Notamacropus eugenii: one gene and its partner. The protein of the gene in region 1 purifies or fractionates together with the protein of each later gene. This does not show direct contact. Links are inferred from orthologs where the notes say so. Each region holds a gene or a part of one and is shown on either strand. Other genes may lie near its edges.

The links.
Region 2: the proteins of VCAM1 (region 1) and MSN purify together in Homo sapiens (affinity purification with western blotting; 3 studies listed by BioGRID, with this or other methods). This does not show direct contact. The link is inferred for Notamacropus eugenii from reciprocal best matches to the Homo sapiens genes VCAM1 and MSN.

The regions. Positions count from the first base shown.
Region 1 is NC_092873.1:277,201,201-277,209,034, reverse strand, and holds the start of VCAM1 (vascular cell adhesion protein 1), read right to left. Parts: upstream 3,097-7,834; 5' UTR 2,939-3,096; coding exon 2,875-2,938; intron 2,319-2,874; coding exon 2,043-2,318; intron 1-2,042. UniProt on the Homo sapiens protein: Cell adhesion glycoprotein predominantly expressed on the surface of endothelial cells that plays an important role in immune surveillance and inflammation.
Region 2 is NC_092879.1:25,989,988-25,997,332, reverse strand, and holds the start of MSN (moesin), read right to left. Parts: upstream 3,109-7,345; 5' UTR 2,690-3,108; intron 1-2,689. UniProt on the Homo sapiens protein: Ezrin-radixin-moesin (ERM) family protein that connects the actin cytoskeleton to the plasma membrane and thereby regulates the structure and function of specific domains of the cell cortex.

The sequences.
Region 1 (7,834 bases):
CCTTGGCTCTGTATAATAAGATGATACCATAGAAGTGATCTCCCTTTTAAGCAGTTCAAGTCTCTTTATAAAGAGAATCAAATTCATCTTGAATATAGTCCTGGGGGTTGAGAAAGGCTTAGTTAGAATTTCTGTTGCATAATGCCTATGTGTTCTGAATCCTGCTGCCTGAAGCAGGGTACAGAAACCAAGTCAGGGAAATCAACTAAATCATGTCATTACTGGAGAGTAGAAAGTGCATAGTACTGAATTATTTATCCTGCATTTGGCTCAATCTTTCGCTTTGTTTGATCTACACGAAGACAAATAAATAGACCAATTTAGATCAAATGCCTTCCCTTTCCTGGGTCTCATTTTCCTCATCTCTGAAATTAGGGGTTGAGCTATCAAAGTCCCTTCCAGTGTCATCAATCTTTGATTTAGTGATTTACAAGGAGAAGGCAGTGTATATCTTCTCCCATAAAGCATCTCTGCTAATCTTGACTTTGACTCAGTCTCACAAACTTTCCTAAAGCCCAGTTTTCCATCTCTGAAAACTACATGCAGAGATGTAGATAGATATTATATTACATTAATATGTTAATAGATCTTATATGTATATATGTACATATGCACGTGCGCACACACACACACACACACACACATATATATATGTATGTAGCTTTGATGGGACAGTACAAGAGCAGTGTTATTAATGCCATTGATGATAGTGGGGAAAATTCATCAGTAAATATTATTTTTGTGCAAGGCATCATGCCAAGTGCTTTTGAGTATACAAAGAAATATAAGACACAAGGACTTAAGATCTAGATGGAAAGAGAAAATATATACATGCCTGAAAAGAGATGTAGCATGTAGGAGTTGTACATGGCCAAGAAGTGGCATACTATACTAGAAGGAGCAGAGAGAGTTTGACCTGATGTCTTTGAGAACTGAGATAGAATTATTTATATATACGTATATACATATGTATATACATATTTATGTGTTTATATTATTATATGATATATAATCACATATATTGCATGTGTATGTATATATAAATATATATTTATAAATAATAATTAAGATTTCCTACTTTTGTTTAATGGGCATAATAAATAAGGGATCATTGATGTGGCATTGGGGAGAAATAAGGCACATGTGTATTCTTTGGGGTTGAGTACCAGAGAGTAGAGAGTGGTAGCTAGGTGGTGCAGTGGGTAAAGCACCAGTGCAGGAGTCAGGAGGACCTGAGTTCAAATCTCACCTCATACACTTGACACTCACTAGCTGTGTGGCCTTGGGCAAGTCACTTAACCCCAATTGCCTCATCCTGGCTCATCTCCAGTCATCCTGATGAATATCTAGTCACTGTATTCAGATGGCTCTGGAGGAGAAGTGAGGCTGGTGACCTGCACAGCCCTCACTCACTCAAAACAAAGTCAAGTGCAAGTCATGTCATTATTTCTCTGATGGCATGGTCTTCTTCAGCAACAAAAGATGAATACACTCTCTTCTCACCTTAGTATCTATATCCTGATTTTGCTCCTTTAGAACACCCCACTATTTCTGCCCAGTTCTTATTTCCGATAGAAAGACAAAGGTGGCTGAGCTTTCTGGGCTGGATAGGTAAATGAGTCAAGATTAGTTAGGTTAGGACTCTGCTGAAAGATAGTCATTAGGTATAGGTGACTATCTTGAAAAACTGCTGTGTTAGTGGGAAAATAGAAACTGAAAGCTTAGGAGTGGGAAAGTGAGCACTACAAATTGAGGGTATCCAGGAAAGTTACATGGAGAGATGTTCATCTGGACTAAGCCTTGAAAAATCCGGATTTTGCAGAAAGAAAGAAAAGAAAAAGAAAGAATCTCTTAGTTTAACAAGTAGTTTCTTCTCTGGGTTGAATAAAATAATTAAGGAGGAAAATGTTTAATCATTAAAAATACATGTACCCTGTTTATTCCCTCATCTAACACTTGGCCCCTGTGGAATAGTCATACATTCACCTTCCCCCAACTAATCTCACTGAAAACAAGGAGTTCTCAAAGAGTGGATAACTTACAATAGAGCTCCACCAGGATTCCTTTCTCCACTTTCTTGCTTCCACATGCAGCCATGCACAAATAAGAATGTTCATTCTGGAACCCAACAGGATCCATGGTCAAGGTAGACTTGGTCCCTTCAGTATGTATCTTCCCCCATAGGGGGCTGTCCATCTGGGTTCTCCAAGAGAAAGTAGGGGCTTCACAGCCAGTCACAGTGCAGGTCAGCTTAGCGGAGCCCCCGATCTGAGCAGCGATCTTAAAACTTGGGCCAACCTCAATTTTCAGATCTTCCGCTGAAAAAGAAAAAAAGAAAAGAAAATTTACTACCAGCTTCTGATCTAGTATTCCTCTCACTTTTATACCCTCTGGGATCCTGGGAAAAATGTCATATATCAATTGTCCTGTCCAAATAACTTGAATCTCCCAGCTAGGTGTTCAAAAAGACAATGAAGCGTATTGTCAAGGAAGATGCTGGAATGATCCTCCTTAGTAAAAGATCAGTGACTAAGGCTTAGACTTGCCACTATTTCTAAGGGTCTTTTAGATATTTTCCTCACAAATTTGATTTCCCCACAAATATGGAAAACTAGCAAAGAGATACCATAGAACCAAAATTATTCATTCCACATGGGAAATCATATTCCAAATTACTTTCAAGGCCCTCTCCATGCTAGACCATTGATGCATAGCTAAATTCAACAGCACTTTGAAAACTAAGTTCAACAAAGTTTTCCTCTATCTTTAAAAACCACAGCACCATTTTTAACAGCAATACTAAGGAGTCTGAAATCAACCCAGTAGCTCAGATGGATGCAGGCAGGCAAAAGAAATTAAAGGAGAAAAACTCACAAGCAGCAAATACCATCCAAAGGAGGTTCGTGGCCAGAACAGTTCCCAGCTTTTGTCCACACATTTTGTATGTTGTGATAGAGGAAACAGCGAGTCCAAACTACCCACTCTCCGTGCTACCTGAAGAAACCCAGGGACTGTCCGCTGCTTCCAAAGTGAATGCAGCTGGGTAAGCAATGGAAGAAAGAGTCTGCTCTTTATAAAGGGTCTTGCTGCAGAGGCGGAGGGAAATCCCTTAACGGGGAAACCCAGAGCAGAGCCAAGAAAAAAAAGGCTGACCGAGAGCCAAGTTCCTCAATATTAACCCCTTATACTGCTCTACAGGCTAAATCACAGGCAACTGCACACTCCAACCTTGCTTTTTAGTAGCAAACAGAGGTTCTAAATTCAGGAACTGTTCTGAATTGGGGCACAAAAGACCCCAAGATTGTAGTGTGCTGATTAGCAAAGATATTTTGCAATTCACCACTGCAGGACAATCATATCTTTAGGCTAATAGGGAGAGGAGTTTGGGATCTTTATTTCAGGGAAAAAAAACCCAAATCTTTCTATTGGGTAATGGACTTCTGTGTCATAGATAATTAGATGGATGGATGAATGAATGGATGGATGGATAGATAAAATTTTCATTATGAAAATTAATTGTATTCTACTTTTATGTGCATCACCATAGAAAACTGGATGAATTATTTGCTTTCATATTAATAGAGGCTATAGGAAGGACTACTGAAAATTGAAGCATATGGGGACTGAAAAAAGGTGGGTACCTTTAGTATGGAGGGGTTGTGATCTGCATGGGTGAAGGGGACTCTCCACACCAGTGATATCATGGATTGTAGAAAACAGACTGAAGGTGGATAGGAGTACATCCCAGGTGTCAGTTTTCTTAAGTATCTTTGAAAGAGCTTAAATGACAAAAACCCTGAGTTTAAATCCCATCAACAATATTTGCTTCTTGACCACAGGCTTCCTTTTGCTTCCTCATTCATAAAATGGGGATAATACTTGCACTTCTTCTCTCAGAGGGTTATTTTGAGGATAATACAAGGTGCTTTATACTCAAAAGTGCATCAGAAATGTTGTTATTCTTATCATTGCTGCTGTTGTTGCTGTCTTGGGCCATATCCAGTTGTCTTGATCTGTATCTGGCCACTGGACCCAGATGGCTCTGGAGGAGAAAGTGAGGCTGTTGATTTTGCACAGCCCTCCCTCACTTAAATCCAGTTCACTTGCAAGTCATGGTATCATATTCTGATGTCACAGTCCTCTTCAAGAATGAAGGACAAACCACATACACACACCACCACCACCACAACTACTATCTTAAAAAATGAAAAACCATTCAGTCAACCAGTTGTCTCCATGATATATAAAGATCCAATTAAATCTTTTCTCTGAATTGACTATTTTTTTTCAAATGAATGGAATGGGCTTGATATTGCAAAGAGGTAGCCCCAAACCTGAAAAACTCTCTCTAGGTTCAAATCAGACCAAAAATCCCACGTCTTAAACCCCAAACAGAACTAGAATACAATTTTCTATGAGAAATTATGTTTCTTTGGAAATCCCAAGACCAAAAGAAGAGTTATGTACTTAAAAAAATTTTCACAGTTCACCTCAGAATTCAGGACAGCCAGGCATGTAACTTTTTCCTCTCTTCAGGAAATAAGGATGCATTTCAGGAAATTAGTAGGAATTTAAAACTTTGGGGAATAAAAACCACAGGAAGGAAGGGCTATTCATTTGGTAAAGTCTGTTTTAGCATAGGTTATCTATGACCTTTCTGTCAATGTACGAAATACGTTAGCTAGCACTTGAGTCTATATTTTCCTTGGTGTGGGCAAATCCTCAACTAATGTAGATTGTCACACTTCTGATTCTTAAGACATGGTCTTCATGAGATACTGTGGCCAGAAAAATGAATACCCTAGTGCAGGTGTAGGAAACCTGCAGCCTTGAGGCCACATGTGTCCCTCTAGGTCCTCAAGTGAGGCCCACCCAAAAGGAGGTCCCTGCACTAGTGTTCGACCATCTGTCAATGAGCCTTGGCATCCTCTACTAGGCCAATTCTCGTTTGTTAGACCCAGTCTGTTGCTGGGCCCATATTCAAAATCATTCAAGTTGGTAGGACCTAGTGTTATGGTGTTTTGGAGTGGGAAGGGGCCTTTGAAGTCATGTAATTGAATATCCTTCTTTTAGAAATGAGTAATCTGAAACCTAGAAACATTAAGTGACTTGCCCAGAGTCACATTAGTAACAAGAGTCTGGACTTGAATCCAAGTCTTCTGATACCAAATCCAGTGCCTTTCTTTGTGGGCATAGGTCATGAGATATTAGAGTAAGGCTTCAGTGGAGATAGCTATATTATCTTAATAGTCTTGTGATTTCATGGTATGGTGGAATTCCTGGTGTGAAAACTCCCGTCAGTGACAGGCATCTGCGATGGCAATCAAAATAGGATCTTTTGCTGGTTTTGTTTTAGTATAATCAAGTGCCTCTCATTGAATCTTGCCTTTATCAATCAAGAGTTTTTGCTAAGAGTAAAGTAAAGAAACAGGAATTTCTTTAACTAGAAACAGTACCTGTATTTGTACTGTTAATGTGATTAAAGACCTTTCCCACATATTAATGGGCCTGCCCATTAAGGGGAGTTTGATTAGGGAAGATTTGTAGGAACACTCACAGCTTTTGTTGATAAGGCACTGGTTCTCAGGGGTTGGGATGCCCCTGGCTCTAAAAAAAGATATAAATACTCTGAGGGTGAGGTTTTACTTTGGGGTTTAGTTTTTGCAAGAAGATTTGAGTGCCAGATGAAGACTCTGGGAAGCCACTGAAGGAGCACTCCCAGCTTTGAAAACTCAGGTGTCATGCTTCCCTCTCTGGGAAAGACAGTTGTACCTGTCTGTTGAATTATGGTCAGACAGAGGGAAGCCTTGTCTGTCGATTACTTTGGGGCTTACTGACTGGAAGCATTTGTTTGGTTAGATGAGGACTCTGGGAAGCTGCTAAGGAGCCCTCCTCTCCCCACACCCCCCAAACTCTCCAGCTTTGAGAACCCAGATGTCATGCTTCCCTCTCTGGTAATTATGGTCAGATAGTGGGGGTCCAATTGTCTGTTGAATTCAGGCAGAGGAAGCCATATCTATTGATCTTTAATTTCTCTGTATTTTCTTTGAAGTTTGGAGTGCTGATGCCCCTGAAATAGGTGAATGATATATGTGCATGTATGGTTAAAGGATTGATACATGTGACTGATTAAAGTGATTGCTAACTCCTCAAAAGTTGCCTTTCCTTTTATGAATGCAGATCTAAGAACCTGTAATAGCTGGCCCCCCTGTGTATGTTGGGGTGCTTACTGATACAACATCATAAACTCATCTATAACATATTACAGAGATGCTGAGGGCACTAACAGATTGAATGACTTGCAAAAGATCCCATAGCTAGAAACATGAATGAACCCAAATTCTCTGCCTCCAAGGCAGGCTCTCTAGCCTTAATATTTTCCCGCCTCTAACTGAGAGCTCAAGATAGCTAAAAAAAATAAGAATTTGGGAATGTAGTGTCAAATACAATACTGAATCACGGTGTGAAAAGATTATAGGAAGTGGGTTGCTAAGCATGAGAAAATGAAGTGTTACTTACCTTTTGTTACACAATTTAGAATTTAATCATGTATACTTTCACTGGAGATTCAATTCATGAATTAACATCCAGAGCTTCAATTGACTGAAGATTGCCTTTGTCTCCCCATCCCCACCTCCTTGAATAATCTCCCCTTCTAGCCTGCTACTGTGAAAAACAGCCTGTGGATCGCAACTTTATATGGGTCTACACTATGATGGGCCAAAGAAGCTGATACTCTTAGAGACTTTGCAAAGGAACTTTGGAAATAGTCCCCAGTAGTTCCCAAGTACTCTGATCTGGTAGGACCATACCCAGAGCACAGAGTTCAGTTTTAGGCCTCTACATTTACAACCTGGAGTGAATCCGGAGGAGGAGAATTAGGATGGTGAGGGAACTAGAGACCATGTTGTGCTAAAGTCAGGTCAAAGAAATGAGAATGTTTTATCACAGAAAAGAAATTACTTGGGAGTAGTAAGAGTTGTTTAAAAAAAAAGTATAAGAATTGTTCTGTTATGTCCCAAAAGGCAAAGATTATGCTAGATCCTGCCTACCTTTCCAGGCTGGTTGTGTATTACTCTCTTCATTCATTTTCTGTTCCAGAGAAACTAGCCTTCATTATATTGCCCATACAGGACATTCCATCTCTCATCTCCATTGCTTTGAACAAATTGTTCCTTATGCCTGGAATATACTCCCTCCTTATGTCTACTTTGTGGAATCTCTAGCTTCCTTCAAGACTCAATTCTGGTGCAGCTCATACATAAAACCAATCCTAATTCCCCAGTTAATAGTGTGTCCCTTTGTCTCCAAATTACTTTGCATTTAGTTTGTACTTACATACTAAGCATGTTTCCCTAATTCTTTGAAGGCAAACACTGTATTATTCTTGTCTTTGTACCTCCAGCACCTAACATAGTGTCTGGAATGTAGTAGGTGTTTCATAAATGCTTATTGAAGGAAGGCAGTGAGAGCAAATGGGTAGAAGTTGTAGAAAGATTTAATGTTGGGGGGGGCACTTTCTAATAATTTGAACCATCTCAAAGTGGAATGAGATGCCTTGAGAGGTAGGCAGGCTTCATTAGAAGTCTTCAAGTGGAGGCTGGAAAACCATGTGATAGACATATTGTAGAGGAGGTTCTATCCCAGGAGGAATATGCTCAATTAGATGACTTCTAAGGTACCACCAGCTCTAGGTTGACCTTCTAGTCATTTGTTGTAGTTGTTCAGTTGCTTTTCAGTCATATCTAATTCTGTGACCCCATTAGGGGTTTTTCTTGGCAAAGATGCTGGAGTGGCTTACCATTTCCTTCTCCAGCTCATTCTGCAGATGAAG
Region 2 (7,345 bases), on another chromosome or scaffold:
AGGTAAGTCACTTCACCCTGTTTCCCTCAGTTTCCTCATCTGTAAAATGAACTGGAGAAGGAAATGGCAAACCACTGCAGTGTATTTGCCAAGAAAATCTGAAATGGGGTCATGGAAAGTTGGACACAACTGAAATGACTGAACAACAAGTGTCTGTTTAATGAAATGTCTTCAGTACCCTACTTCATTTTTCACAGCTCAACACTGCCTAAGGGGTGGCCAAATGGGCAAGGATGTGCCAAGGGCCTGAGCAATATCCAAAGTGCTTAGCACAGTTCTTGGCACATGATGTCGTTCAGTTGGTTCCAACTCTTTGTGACCCCATTTTGAGGTTTTCTTGGTAAGAAAACTGAAGTGGTTTGCCATTTCCTCCTCCAGTCCATTTTACAGATGAGGAAACTGAGGCAAATGAAGTGAAGTGACTTGCCCAGGGTCACATAGCTGGGAAGTGACTGAGGCCAGATTTGAACTTATGAAGATGACTCTTCCTGATTCCAAGTCCAGTGCTCTATCCACTGTACCGCCTAGCTGTCGCACTCGACACATAGTAAGCACTTAATAAATGCTTTGAAAAAATTGGAAGGGACCTCAATGTCCATAGAACATCATCATCAACTGCTACTACTACTACTTTATATACCCCCACCACCACTACTACTACTACTTTATATACCCCCCCCCACCACTACTACTACTACTTTATATACCCCCACCACCACTACTACTACTACTTTATATACCCCCACCACCACTACTACTACTACTTTATATACCCCCACCACCACTACTACTACTACTTCACATAGTGCTTAAGGTTTGCTAAGCACCTTACAAATATGATCTCTTTTGATCCTCACAGCAACCCTGGGAGGTAGCTGCTAATATTGTCCTCATTTTATAGATAAGAAACAGAGGCAGACAGGTGAAGTGACACAAACAAATACAAATCCGTTCTGTGAAGTTTGGATTTCGCCAAAGGGCCACCATTGAGGACCTAGACAGTCACATGTGGCCTCAGGCCGAAGGTTCCCCACTTAGCTCTGTGGGGGCAAACAGAACAAGCCTAATCCTTTCTCGAATTTCATATCCCTTCAGATACCTGAACATGGTATCATGTGCTTACTCCCTCTCCCCTACATTATTCTATCTTCCAAGTTCAAAATCCTTAGTTCCTTTAATATGGCTTTTTTTCCCTAAATTCCATTTCATTTTTACTTTGAGCTGAAAACTTTCTCTCTCCTATCTCCCTAAGCACCCCCCTCCCAGGAAGAAAGCAAGAAAAACAAACTCCTTTATATAGTCAAGCAAAACAAATCCTTCCCTGACCACGTCTAAGAATATGTCTCAGTTCGAATCTGGAATCCATTACCTAGGTGTCAGAAGGCGAGCAACATTTTTCTTCATAAATTTGCTGAAATTGTGCCTAAAACCCTTCTTTATATAGTTGGACTCAAGGTCCTTCTGAATCCTGGTTGCCCTCCTTTGGACTCTCTAGCTTGTTGTCCTTCCAAAAAGGTGACTCCCAGAAGTGACCACAATACTTCTGATGTGGTTCACCCAGAGCAACAGAGAGTGAAACAATCACCTCCTTAATCCTGGAAGCTTTGCCTCTCTTAATGATGATTTCTTGGCAGCCACCTTGACTGTTGACTCATATGGAGCTTGCGGTCCAACCCCCAGATCTTTTTCAGCTGAACTGTTGTCTAGCCCCACCCCCACCCCCATCTGGTACTTGCAAAGTTGGCTTTGGGGTTGGGTTTGTGGGGGGGGTGGGGGGGGAACCAAGAGGAAGGTTTTATGTTTATCCATGTTAGATTTATTCAGTTCAGCCCAGAGTTTAATTGGATTCCGATTCAGAGTCTACAGATGTGCAAATTAAAAGACAAGAGGAATTCCATTATTTGACCAAGATCTGCAGAGAGTAAGTGGCAAAGCAGGCTTCAATACAATTCAATTCAATCTGACAAGTTTTAATTAAGCCACCTATGTGTCAGGTACCGTGGTAGGTTCTGGAAATACAAAGCTAAAAACAGAACAGTGTCTGCACTCAAGAAGCTTGGAGAGAGGGGGCATGAAACAAAATATACATGGAAAATGAAATATGAAACATAGGCAAAGTAGTTTCTGGGAGCTCTAGATCTTAAACTCCGGTTCTGATCTAGGAAGATCTTTGCAAATCTCAACTTTGTCATTCAATGTGTTAGCTGTCCCTCCCAGGTTTGTATTTCCATCTTTATCCAAGTCATCGATCAAATGTGAAAAAGTACAGGGCCAGCCTAAAACAGATCCCAGACACACCCTACCTTCAAAAGTTGACAATTTTAGGTTTGAATATGCACTAGTTTGAAATCCACCTAACTGTGCTGGCATCAACTCCACACCTTTCAAATGTTTTATTACGATTTATGTAGCCCATACTGGCTATTGCAGGCATTCCCCTGATGGAATCTAAAATAACAAAGTCTACCTTGGTCCTAACTGCCTGAAGGCCCGGTAGGTTACACCGCACCCCTCCTTCAGGGTTCTCCAATACTCTTAGGCAGTTAGGGAATTATCTACTCTCTACCATGGGCTGAAACCCCTATAAAGTGTGTTTCACAATTTTTAGGGGATTACCTTTTAGAGAGGAATATTGACTTCAAAGATATAACAAAAACCAACATACAAACATTATCTCTGAAACACCTACCTTGGAAGATATAACCCTCTCCGTCTCTGGGAAATGGAAGGGAATGGGAATCCATTAGGTTCACAGCTTAGATCAGTTCCTATGTAGCACCAGTTCCACCAAATTCGGAGTCTGAAGCCCCCTTAGGCTTCAGTCCCTGGCTTCTAATGGCTTCCTGCTTGGGTGGTGGCAACATCCGGCAAAATTCTGGAAGCCTGGCTCCGAAGTCTCCATGACTCAACCTCCTAGGTCCTGGAACTTCGCCGCTTTCTGCACCCAGAACTGAAAAGAACAGATAACCAAAGCCCTGTGCACTTTTCCCGATGCCACAGGGTACCAGGGGAAGGAGAAGGTGACCCTTCCCCTATCCAGCTTAGTACATAGTGCCCATGCTGCGCAAACAAGATCTTCACTCCTGGGCAACACCGGAAAGAAAGAGCGAGAAACGGTCTTTGTCTGGTAGTTTTAAAGACGCAACTATATCCGGCTACACGACCAATGGAAAGAGACTACTCCCACTCACGTGGTAGGAGAACAGCAGAATCCCTTCTCAGAGAAGCAAGCCCGTTGTGTTTCCCATGTGGACACCTCCATCTTGGGTGATGTGGCCCTGTGCCAAGCTCAGTAATACTACTTGAAAAAGGGTAGTCAGGCGGTACCCGTTTTAAAGGAAACTATGCTGGTTCTTTTCCACCACCACTGATTTTTGAGATCTTCAGGAACTGCCCCTTCCATGAACATAATCCAGGTTCTTGCCAGGTGTCAAAATTCAAATTCAGTACACTAGCTTAATGTCCGTAGGATATGAGTTCGCCTTTTTTTTTGTTTTGGGGGTTTATTTTTGGAAAATTGAGGACATTTGCCCTTCTCCAATCCTGCAGCATGTCTCCCATTCTCCACTATCTTTTAGCTATCAACTGGCAAGGGCTAAACCAAAAGAACCTACCCATGTCCTTCATCTTGGACAGGTGACTTGAAATCGTTGAGGGCTGCTAAGTACTTTCTTATTATCCCTTCACTTTTCTTGCATATCAACTCCCTATTTCTCATTTCTATTCTGTCCTTTCCAATCCAAAGATTATTTTCCTTGGCAGAAGCAAAATAATGATTGAGTAGCTCTAAGTTTATTGCCCCATTTATCCTGACCAGGGGGTCCTATAGCTTCTTTGATTCTCCTCTTTTTCACAGTATACCTAAAATCCCTTTTGTTCTCATTCACCTTGACCAATTCTGAGTTTTCACACTCCTGACACTCTTTTTACAGAAGCATGCCCTGATTTTGTATTTATTCTGTTACTTACTCTTGGTTGTATCTGTTGCATGTGTCTTTTAGAAATGTAAGCAGGTTGGTGAGGTCCCTGTGCATCCACATCGATTTTAGTAAACAACTCCATCTATTCTTCTCACTGGAATTTTTTCTCATTGTGTCTTCAGAAATTCATTCTTGAGTTTCCCATCTCTCCCAGAATGAATGATTAGCCCAGTAGAATTATAGTTCATGAGTTCCTTCCTATTCTTTCTCTGAACCTTTTAAAATCTACTTTCTCAGAATCTAGAACCCAAATTTGACCATTCCCAACTTTTCTCTCTTCTCTCACAAATTCTAAGATGTAGTAAACACTGTTCTCCAAGATTCCTGACATTTCATCTCACCAATGAATTCCTCCATTTTGGCAAAATAGACCTAGAATAAAATCTTCCTTCCTCCCTTCTTCTACCTTTTAAATGATCCTGTAAGTCAAATCAAAAGAGTACTAACTGCTCTGTTCCTGAGCAAACTCTTCAGTAGGAGACTGGATAACTGAAATTCCCTGTTACTACTACATTATTCTTTCATAGCTCCATGGTGATCTCTTTGTTGAACTCAGCAATCAATCCATCTAGCATTAAGTGCCCATTCTCTCCCAAGTGCTGTTCTAGGTGCTAGGGACACAAAGAATGAAATCATCCCTAATCTCAATAAGCTATTCTATCAAGGGAGACAAGTCATGCCTTGCTAAGGATGACTCCACTCTGAGGCTGACTGGTGAGTCCCTGACTGGATCAGCTATAGTCCTCCCAATATGCAAACTTTTCAGCTCCCCTTTATAGATTTCCTCCCCTCCCCCATTAGAATGTAAACTTTTTGAGAGTAGGAAGTGGCTCATTTTTTTATTTTTATAACTCCAGCATTTCCCTTCCCTCTTTCCTTTTTCCCTTCCTCCCTCTTTCCCTTCCTTCCTTCCTTCCTTGCTTTCAATAGCTCATGTGAGAATTTGTTTTGCACAACCATACATATTTGTAACAGATTTTGTTTTTATTGTCTTCTTAGTGGGTGGAGGAAGGAGAGGAGGAAGGGAGAGAATGAATAACTGAAAATAAAATTTAAAAAATGAAAAATCATTCACAACACCTTACGTAATAAACAATTGTCCAATTATATTACAAATGTATTTTTCCTCTGAGACAGCAAGCACATGCATGTTTGAAGCATTATAAAAGTTTGTTTCTGCAGTGACTGACAACCATCATAATCATGTGCACAACAATTTTGGTGTTTCCACAGCAATTACATCAACATCAAACTCTGACTACTTTTTTTAATTAGTTAATTTATTTTTAGTTTTCAACATTGACTTCCATAAGTTTTAAATTTTCTCCGCCTCCCTCCCCAACATGGTGTGCAATCTGATATAGGCTCTATAATACATTCCTATTAAGCATTTTTTCACATTAGTCATGTTGCATAGAAGAATTGGAACTAAAGGGAGGAACCGTGAGAAAGAAAAAAATGAAACAAAACGAAACAAAAAAAGAGAGCGAATGGTTTGCTTCGATCTGCATTCAGACTCCATATTTCTTTCTGTGGATGTGGATGGCATTTTCCATCATGAGTCTTTTGGAGTTGTTTTAGTTCCTTGAATTGCTGAGAAGAGCAAAGTCTATCAAAGTCATTGCACAACGTGGCTGTTACTCTGACTGCTTCTAAGTGCAAAGCATTCTTTCCGTTTTTCAACCTGTCATCGAATTGTTTCCAAACCAACATAAGGATTCAAAATTTAAGCCCAAACCAGTTCTCAATGGATGGTCAAACTCCGGTACATATAGCCTCATTTGTGTCCTGTGCACTGCGCCAGAGTGGCTACTTCGTTCCTCTCTGTTACCCTGTAATCACATCTCATCAGCTGGTAATCATACGATCAAGATGTTACAAACCTTTGCTTTTTTGCAGAGCAAATATCAGGCTATTTAAATACCATGATCAATGAATATTCAAATTAAAAGCCATCTTGAAACCATCATGGACCATCACAAATGTTCTGCAAAAACAAACCTTTGATTACCTCTCATTGCAGTATTAAGGCTGTTTTCTGACAAACTTGTCATCCACTTATGTTACGATTCTTCTCTCTGGTGTATTTTCAAATGAACTGTTTGGCAACACTGGTCAGTCGTTTAGTAGAGTTTTGTGAGAATGTAGCTAGTGTGCCAGTGGTAGAAGAGAAGGTCACATCTGAAAAGATTCTTTCTTTTCAAAGGTTAGCTTATATTATTTTGTTTCAAATGTATTTTTTTCTTTGTGACAACAAGCATATGCATGTTTGAAGCATTATAGGTTTGTTTCTGCAGTGACTGATAACCATCATAATCATGTGCACAACAATTTTGGTGTTTGTTCAACAATTCCGACAAACTTCGACTGCTTTTAAGTGCAGTTCTTTCAATTTCTCAACCCGTCATCGAATTGTTTCCAAACGAACACAACGGTTCAACCTGTGAGCACAAATCAATTCCTAGAAGGGAAAATATATATATTGTCAAAAATGAAGCAATATATGCAATTAAACTTTAGGTACATTTATCATTTAGTACAGCGCTTGTCATTAGCCAGTAGGAAAGTGAATGTTTTATTTCATAACGAGTTACTCATTTTCGTTGAGTGATTACCTAGCTAAAATTTTTCGAAAAGAGTTTCTATCTCAGCAAGAGAGCTTATAAAACTCTCCTACCATTTGCTATCAAATATTTGTGTGAGTGAACATTTTCATATCATACTCATTTTAAATCGAAATACAGAAAAATCTTCACTTTAGAACAAAATTTAAGACTATGTTTGATGTTAAGGCAAATGTCGCAAATCTAATTCAAATTAAAAAGTCCATCATCAAATTTAGGTTTATCCATTTATATCATGGAATAGTAAACATCTTCCAAATTGTAACTTATTTAATTAAAAATGTTCATTATACTTAACAAAATTTGCAAATTTTGTTGAACACAACATTAGTTAAACAAAATTTAGTATGAAGTCTCAAAGATAATAAACATTTGAGGTCTTGGGGGATCATGTCTTCTAATTATTATAGAATGTTCCACATAAAATATTTGTAATCATTTTATAATTAGGTTTATAATTTTATATTTGATCTTCATAATTGTACATAGAATAACATTTTATATTTTACAATTATACAAATTTTAATTGAGAGGTTTTGGGGACTAAAAGTTCTTGTAGTTATTGTAAGGACTAAATGAATAAATCTAAAAGAATATTATCACAAGGGTATTCAGCTACCCTATGGATTCATGACAATTTTTTTTCAGAAAGGAGTTCACAGAACAAAAAAGGTAGGAACCATTGTCTTAGAGAGTCACCTGGAACACTAGGTTAAGTGGATTGCCCAGGGTCATGGAGCC